Linked DNA regions of Schizosaccharomyces pombe. The protein of the gene in region 1 interacts with the protein of each later gene in a biochemical or structural test. Each region holds a gene or a part of one and is shown in the gene's direction. Other genes may lie near its edges.

Evidence for each region. The genes of interacting proteins can lie anywhere in the genome.
Region 2: the proteins of rpb4 (region 1) and seb1 form a complex in vitro, tested with the Schizosaccharomyces pombe proteins (one study listed by BioGRID).

Annotation. Positions count from the first base shown.
Region 1 is NC_003423.3:1,053,941-1,057,053, forward strand, and holds rpb4 (DNA-directed RNA polymerase II complex subunit Rpb4), read left to right. Parts: upstream 1-1,568; 5' UTR 1,569-1,721; coding exon 1,722-1,773; intron 1,774-1,811; coding exon 1,812-1,917; intron 1,918-1,962; coding exon 1,963-2,040; intron 2,041-2,114; coding exon 2,115-2,286; 3' UTR 2,287-2,562; downstream 2,563-3,113. Other genes in the region: Gtr1/RagA G protein Gtr1, read right to left, coding at 1-764; ubiquinone biosynthesis protein Coq7, read right to left, coding at 2,685-3,113. UniProt on the Schizosaccharomyces pombe protein: DNA-dependent RNA polymerase catalyzes the transcription of DNA into RNA using the four ribonucleoside triphosphates as substrates. Component of RNA polymerase II which synthesizes mRNA precursors and many functional non-coding RNAs.
Region 2 is NC_003424.3:958,259-962,739, forward strand, and holds seb1 (poly(A)site selection protein Seb1), read left to right. Parts: upstream 1-1,626; 5' UTR 1,627-1,802; coding exon 1,803-2,159; intron 2,160-2,349; coding exon 2,350-3,855; 3' UTR 3,856-3,969; downstream 3,970-4,481. Other genes in the region: sno1 (glutamine aminotransferase subunit), read right to left, coding at 1-92; two-component GAP Byr4, read right to left, coding at 4,179-4,481. UniProt on the Schizosaccharomyces pombe protein: Involved in the processing of pol II transcripts.

The DNA of each region.
Region 1 (3,113 bases):
TTACCACCACGAAGCTCAAAAGTAGTAAATTGAGCTTGCATTTTGCTACAACTGAGTTTAAATTGCTTAACAATATTGCTAATTTTTTCGAACCTGTGAGCATCAGTGGCAGGATTGGACTCAGAAGAATAAGAAGAAATAACCAAAAATGTTGTTCTTTCAAATAATATTACCTCAGCAGCCTCAGCAGCTTTGGCAAATTCCCGGAGATGCGATTCCAAAGTAGGCGTATTAGGAATCAAAGTATAGACAATAGCAGACCATGCTTTGAATAATGTTTCATCCCAAATAGAAGTAGCTAAACAAGTGGTTTCAAGATCCTTACTTGTTTCTAACAAAATTGCCTTACGTTCCTCAAAAACTAAATCACGTAGATCTTCCTGAACTAAATCCATCTTGTGTATTAAACAAAATACACGAGCTTGGGGACTATTGGCCACTGTTGCTTCTAGACAATTACGAAAAGTTACTAAATCTCTTTCAAATTCTCTTGACTCAACATCGAAAACATAGATAAGTACTTGAACGTTTCTGAATATGTGATCACGCTGGGCAGATAAATAGTTTTCCATGAACGCCTCCTGTCCACCGCAATCCCATAGGTTCAAAACTAAATTTCCCAAGAACCTTACATGCGAATGTTCAATATCAATTGTAGCACCTAGCCTTCTCGTGTCCTTGGCAACATAATTGCTAAAAACTATGCTTCTCATTGAACTTTTGCCGCTGCCACTGCGGCCCATTAACAGGACTTTTTTTCTCATTTTTTCTAGAATAACAGAACTATCTTGAGATTAAGGGTAAAGCAATTAGTTTATAAAATTCTACAAAACAGCTGTCACTGCAATTGTGAGTGAATTCGTGTTTTTATGCGTTCTTTTTTAAAATCACAAGCAAAGAAAAAGTAAAAAAATAAGAAAGGGAGAAATGTAGGTAAAGGAATGCGAAAAGATTCTATAATATCCCGCAGACAGAAAAGTTTAAGTTGATTAGTGGTACAACGACATGCACTTCAGTCGATTACATCGTAAAGTTACGAAGTCTGTTTTCCTTAACCTACATATTAAAAATCAAATTCAAAGTCAAATTGTGAGAATTAAAATTAAAATAAAAATAAATTTACAAATTTATAAAAAACAAACATATAAATCAAGAACGAATGGTTCATCTCAGAATTAAGCACAGTAAAAATAGAAATAACCCCTTTAAAAGAATGTAACGTATTTTCAAATGAATATAACGAAATTAGTAGAAGAATCCTCATATCTGAGGTTTTTAAGGCGCATTAACGTTTAGCTATACGAAGTCTCTAAAGCAAAGACTTGAGAATAATTTTAATAGAAAGCTCTTTGGTTTTAACGAGAAAATACTCCAAAACCCTGGCGTCGTTAAGCTAGACAAATGATTAAGAAATATCAATAAAATAAATTTTTCTTAGACATCTCCGTACATCTCGGTAAATTCATAATGTTATTAAGAACAATCGTTATTTAGTTTTAAGATAAATATAAAATATCGTTATTATTAGCAGCGGCTATAGAAATGCTGCAATCAAGGACGCGATTTTTAGACACGAAGCAACAGCAAGAAAGCTGGTTGTTGTGCATAAAGAGCATTCTGACATTATTTTTGGGAATACATTTGTATAATAGTTATTGATTTAATTAGATAAAAAGAAAAAACAACATTCTGAAGAGAGTGTTTGCGAGCATCTATTCATAATGCCGAGGGCTATTTTTGAGGAAGATGCTGCACAATTAAAACTTGGTCCAGGTTGGATTTGAATTTTATTCTGTTGCTAATATAAAAAGAGTTTGAGAATGAGGATATGTTGACGGTTTCAGAGGCCAAAATCCTTATTGAAACAGTTCTGGCACAACGAGCACGCGAAACTAATGGTGAGATTCCAATGACTGAGTATGTCTTATTGTATGCATATTCTTTTTTAATTAACTAGGATAGTGTGATGAAAAAAACAGTAGCTTACTTCAATGTTTTTGCTCGGTTTAAAACGGCTGAAGCCACTTATGCATGTGAAAGGTACATAATTTCAAAGAATTGAATAGAATTTTAGAGGAAAATAGCCGTATGCAAATATTTGACTAACCTCATAGAATTCTTGGTAATCGATTCCATAAATTTGAACGTGCACAATTGGGAACACTCTGCTGCGAAGACGCTGAAGAGGCTAGGACCTTGATTCCTAGTCTCGCGAATAAAATTGATGACCAAAATCTTCAAGGCATCTTGGATGAGCTTTCCACTTTGCGTAAATTTCAAGATTAATGCAATAAATAGATCTCAGGCAAGTCTGTTTATTGTCAATTATGAAAACTTAAAAGGTTTCCGGTCTTATAAACTATTAGCTATATCAGGATTTATAATACGACGTTTTTGTCATTATTATTCCATAATTTATGAGGGGTCATAAAACTTTTTTTAACAAAATCTATGTTTTTTTATGCACCATACACTTCTTAATTAGTCTATTAAAAAAATATAATACAAACACTGAATACACGCGAAAAGGAATTTAGATAAAATGTATTAATTAGATTAAGTAAGTTTTAACAAGGATCATACTATTGTGAAGCAAGAAAAACTAAACATTTTGAATCAAATGGGCGTTCTTTGCTTCATAAAGGACTAGCAAGTTGAGTTTGAGGCAGGAAAACTTGAAGTATTTAAAATCGTTTACACATCCAGATAGCCGCTTTGCAACCCATTTGAATGGCATTGGTAAGCAATGCATGAGCTGGAGCTTCCTTTGCGTTCCAACCTTCGACTGCAGTGTTCAAATGCTCTAGCTCGTCATCTCGAAACTCTGCCAAATGGCTACGAATCTCTTTAAATTCTGGAGCTTTATTTTCCAAATGAGCCGTTTCACGTAGTTGGTCGTTATAGTGTCCGCCAATTACCGTTTCTACTGCCTCTGTACAAGCCATAGCTGCTTTGGTTCCAAGCAAAGCAGTTCCTGCTCCCAACGCAAATCCAGCGATGTCCCAGAAAGGACGTAAAAAGGTAGGACGGACTCTATTCTTTAAGACATAATTATCAAATGTTGCGAGATGGTACTTTTCTTGATCCCACATATGCTGAATGGTAGGTGCGAC
Region 2 (4,481 bases), on another chromosome or scaffold:
CCTTGGAGAGCTAAAACTCCAATTCTAGCCTTCAACTGGGATTCGTCCACAGCATTGGTTTTAAGACTCCCGAACATGGATGCAGAAGACATTTTTTTAAAGTTTTTAATCGACTAGAAACGAATAAAAAAACAAAGAAAGTTTGAAAGAACTAAGAAAAACAAACGAAAGATATCCTGAAACCTATTGAACAAGTAGATGCTGATGAAGATTGATACACCCCTTACTAATCAGCAATGAATCACTCAAACCGTTGAAGATGGGTATTAAAGGATTGTGTTGTCTATGTTTATACCTTAAAAAAATTAAATCAAACGTAACTAAGAGATCCACTTTAAGTAGTATACAATGTGTCTCAGTTCATTAAGGCGGTGGTGGCTATAGGATAATAACCCAATCAGACATACCGGGGGTCATTATATAAGTCTGGCAATGTGGAAGCGAAAAATTATCGCCAGAATCAAAGATGGCAATAAAGATAGAATTGGTGGAGCAACCTTGAATCATATCGCAAATGATTACGCTCCTTAATAAGCAATATCATTTGGTACACCCATCTTCATAAGCATAACAAAGGAGACCTTGCACATTGCTAGACTCAGTTTACAAAATCAAATGCGATACAGTATATCACATGCTTTGACTTCAGTCATTTCACTAAAAATTGACTATCTAGACTACCATAAAACAGTCAAATGCTTTCTATATTATCCACAAATTAGGATATCATCAAGCATTAATGAAAAAAAATGCTAATGTCAACACAACTCTACAGTTCACAATTGCTTACAGCATTAACTACTTACCTCACTTTTATTCTCAAAACCCCCAACCACTAATAACTACTTACTGAATTTTAAAGATAAAATTATTTAATTACCTTTCCCACTGTGTTAAAAGTTCAATACGCATAGCATCAGCAAGTCTTCAACCTCTCTTTCAGTGGGTTTAGCAACTGAAAAAATTTAAATAAACTGCTTACTTTCAACGATAACAATATTATCTTCACCACACACTATCAATGTACGAAGTTAAATATTTTCAAACCTCACATCCTAAACCATCCAATGTTGTCAAATTCATGCGTCACAAATCTGTCAACAGAAGAAGATTCGGCGTCGCTTGCCAGTAGTGCAATAGCAAGAACACCAGTGTCGGAAAGCATAGCAAGCCAGAGGCTTTCCAACTCAAACCAAAAACAAGATTAATCGGAAACACCTCAGTGAGGTGATTTCAGCGATTAAACTGAAAAGAACAGATACTACACTTGATCTAAGCCAAAAGGCAAAGAGAGAATACCGAACCAAATGCACGAGTACCTGTATATATAGTAAATCTCATAAATAAACCCGAACCCTGAGATTACTTCGCAGTCCCAATTTTGTGGTCGAGGCTGACAAACTTGTTACCAGAAGGATCATGGGCATGAAATTAACAAAAACGCTACTCATTATTATTATTTTTTTTTACACTAAAAATTTTCATACATTTTTTAAAACAATATGATATATATTTTTTTTTACAAAGTGTGAAACTTTGGAAATTTTTAGCATCTCTTTAAGCACTTTCCTTACCCTTCCGTAATACCAGCTTTATAACCAGCATCACCTACTTCACCACTTAACCGTAACCATAACACAAAAAGTATTTAAGAACAGGGTGACTTCCTTTTTTAACGTCTTTCAAGCACGTGTAAAAAACTAATATAAGAAAAAAAGTAGTAAAATTCTTATAAAGGAAACAGGGTAGTTTTCTAGTTTTGAAAAGTTTTTTTTTTTTTTCATTGTCGTTTTTCTTGTGATATGTCGGGAATCGCTGAATTCGATGGTATTTTAGATTCCCTTGAACATTCCAAGACAGGAATCTCGGGATCAAAAATTTTGAAATTGACTAACTTGTCGATGGAAAATGTTTCAGAGAATGCGCAATTTGTTGCTAGTGTGTATAAGTATGCGAAGCGTGCTCCCGTCACCCATAAATTAGGAGCTTTGTATATTCTAGACTCAATCGTTCGTAGCTTTCAGGACGGTGCTAAAAAGAATAATGAATCTTTTGAAAATCCCGTTGATGCGTCTTTTAGTGGCGGCTGGTGCAAAGCTGCTGAAATAACTGATAGTTTGGTCGCAGATGCTATACAGCATGCGCCATCTGCTCATTTGGTATGTGTAGCTGAAGTTTTTCAAGGTTGACTACGGATAAGATCCCGTATGGATAATCGTATGCTCTCTCTGCTTCTGTATCAGCGAGACACTGTATGAGAGAGGTATTTTTTCCTTGTAATACAGTATCATTCTCTTTGAGAAGTCTTTTAACATTATTGGACTAATTTGTAACTAACTAAGCATGTAGCCTAAAATATTAAAGCTTTGTGATATTTGGGAGAAGGCTTCAACATTTCCTCCCGAGAAGCTAGAATCGCTTCGTTCAAAGCTGAAAGATGCAATGGCAAGTACGGAACCGGTTAGTGTAGATTCTGCTGCTGCTCCATCACAGTCTACTAATCCCGAGGGGAATGGTGGTTCTGTTGGTAGTCAAGCAGCCGCCCCCACTTCTCGTCCTGTCGAAAACGATGCTGCTTCTATTCTAGAGGCATTGGCTGCTTTCGCTCAAAAGGCGCCCGTCCCTAGTGCTGCCGAAGAATCAGTTAGCACTCCACCGCAGCCTGCCGTCGCACCATCCGTTTCTGCTGTCGTCCCTAACCTACCTGTTCATCCAGCTACCGCCATTAATGCACAGTCTCAGTCAGGCAATCCATTATCAAACCCTCTATTCCAACCTTCAAATGTACCACAGTCTATTCCCTCTGGTCCCATGGGGATGAAGACAGGATCGGTCAATGATACCCAGAGTCAACAGATCACTCTCATGAATGTATTGGCTTCTCAGAATGTACCACCTGCACAAATCGATAGCATCATGAAAGCTGCTTTTCCCAACTATAACGCTCCATTCCAGCCGGCTGGTGTCGGCAGTGTTCCTTTGCCAGCTCCTACCTCTTCCCAATCCTTAAGACTCGGCTCCTTACATCGTTCTCGTAGCCCTAGTCCTCGTAGTGGTCGCCCTCGTCGTAGCCCTAGTCCTTCTCATTTATCCATTCCTTCTACTTTGCCTCCTGCAGATGGTGTGCCAAAACCTACCCCTGATGGATTTCCTCGCCGATTTGAGCGTGACCCAACCATTCCACCTGATTCTATTAAGGTATACAGCCGTACTCTTTTCCTTGGTGGTATTACTCGTTCTGTGCGAGAACCTGTTCTTCGATCTATGTTTGAACGATTTGGGTCTGTACAAAGTTTAATTTTAAATCATAATTACAGACACGGGTTCTTGAAAATGTTTCGTCGTGATGCTGCAGAGAAAGCTCAAGTAGCGATGGAAAATGTCCCTTTTGCTGATACTACTATTCGTACTAAATGGGGTGTAGGATTTGGACCTCGAGAGTGCTCTGACTTTTCCACAGGAATCAGCGTTATCCCAATCCGTTTGTTGACGGATGCCGATCGTACCTGGCTTGTAACTGCAGAATATGGCGGCACGGGTGGCCTTCCGATTACTCCTGGTATCGCTTTGGATGAACCTGATATTGAAATTGGATTAGGAATAAGTTCTAAGGCAATTAGTAAAAGAGGAAAAGATTTTGCTATGCGTCGTGATGAGCGATTCCGGGGTCGTAAACCATATAGGGGAGGTCCACCCATTCACCATGGTGAAAGGCATTTTGATTCAGGAAATGACTGGCATGGTAATCCTAGTACCGTTCCTCCCCCTACCAACCCATATAATCCCGGCTATCCATATATGGATCCTAATTACTCTTCTGGGTATGTCTCACAACCTCCTTGGCAACCCCAATAATGTGTTAAAAGACGCTTACAAGTATTATAATGATGGCAAAAATGGTTTCTATATTACAGACGGTATTTAAGGGTATAATGTATTCGGTCCAAATTTAATTGATTATTTTCTTTGTATTGTCTTGTTCAAACAATCTAGTTTGTCTGGGTGTCACATTAGTATTACATTTGTATCATTGTTGTACATCTTATACATCTATTTGCAAACAAAATGAAAAATCTTCGAAGTGTATTAAGCTATGTACAAAAAGATCAAATCTGCGATAAACAAAAGCATTCGTATAATTATATATAAACATTCGCAAGGTAAAGACAAAACCTTGTTTATTGTTCGGCATTAAGTATATTATAAAGCTCCCATAGTCGTGACCTGTCATCGTTTTTAAATGAAAAAAACCAGCCATCAATTCTCTTTCGCCATTGAATATCTTCGCTAAATTGCTTTTTTTCAAACTCTGGGCCGACATCGTATATTTCACTCATATCTGGAAAATTGATTATTGAGTTTATGCTACCATTAAAGCTACCTGAATTTTCGTTCAAGTACTGCGAGGTGGAGTCTGTATCCTCAAGATCATCAAACCCGCTAAAGGGATCTTCCGCTTCTTGACCAGAAATCGAATTATC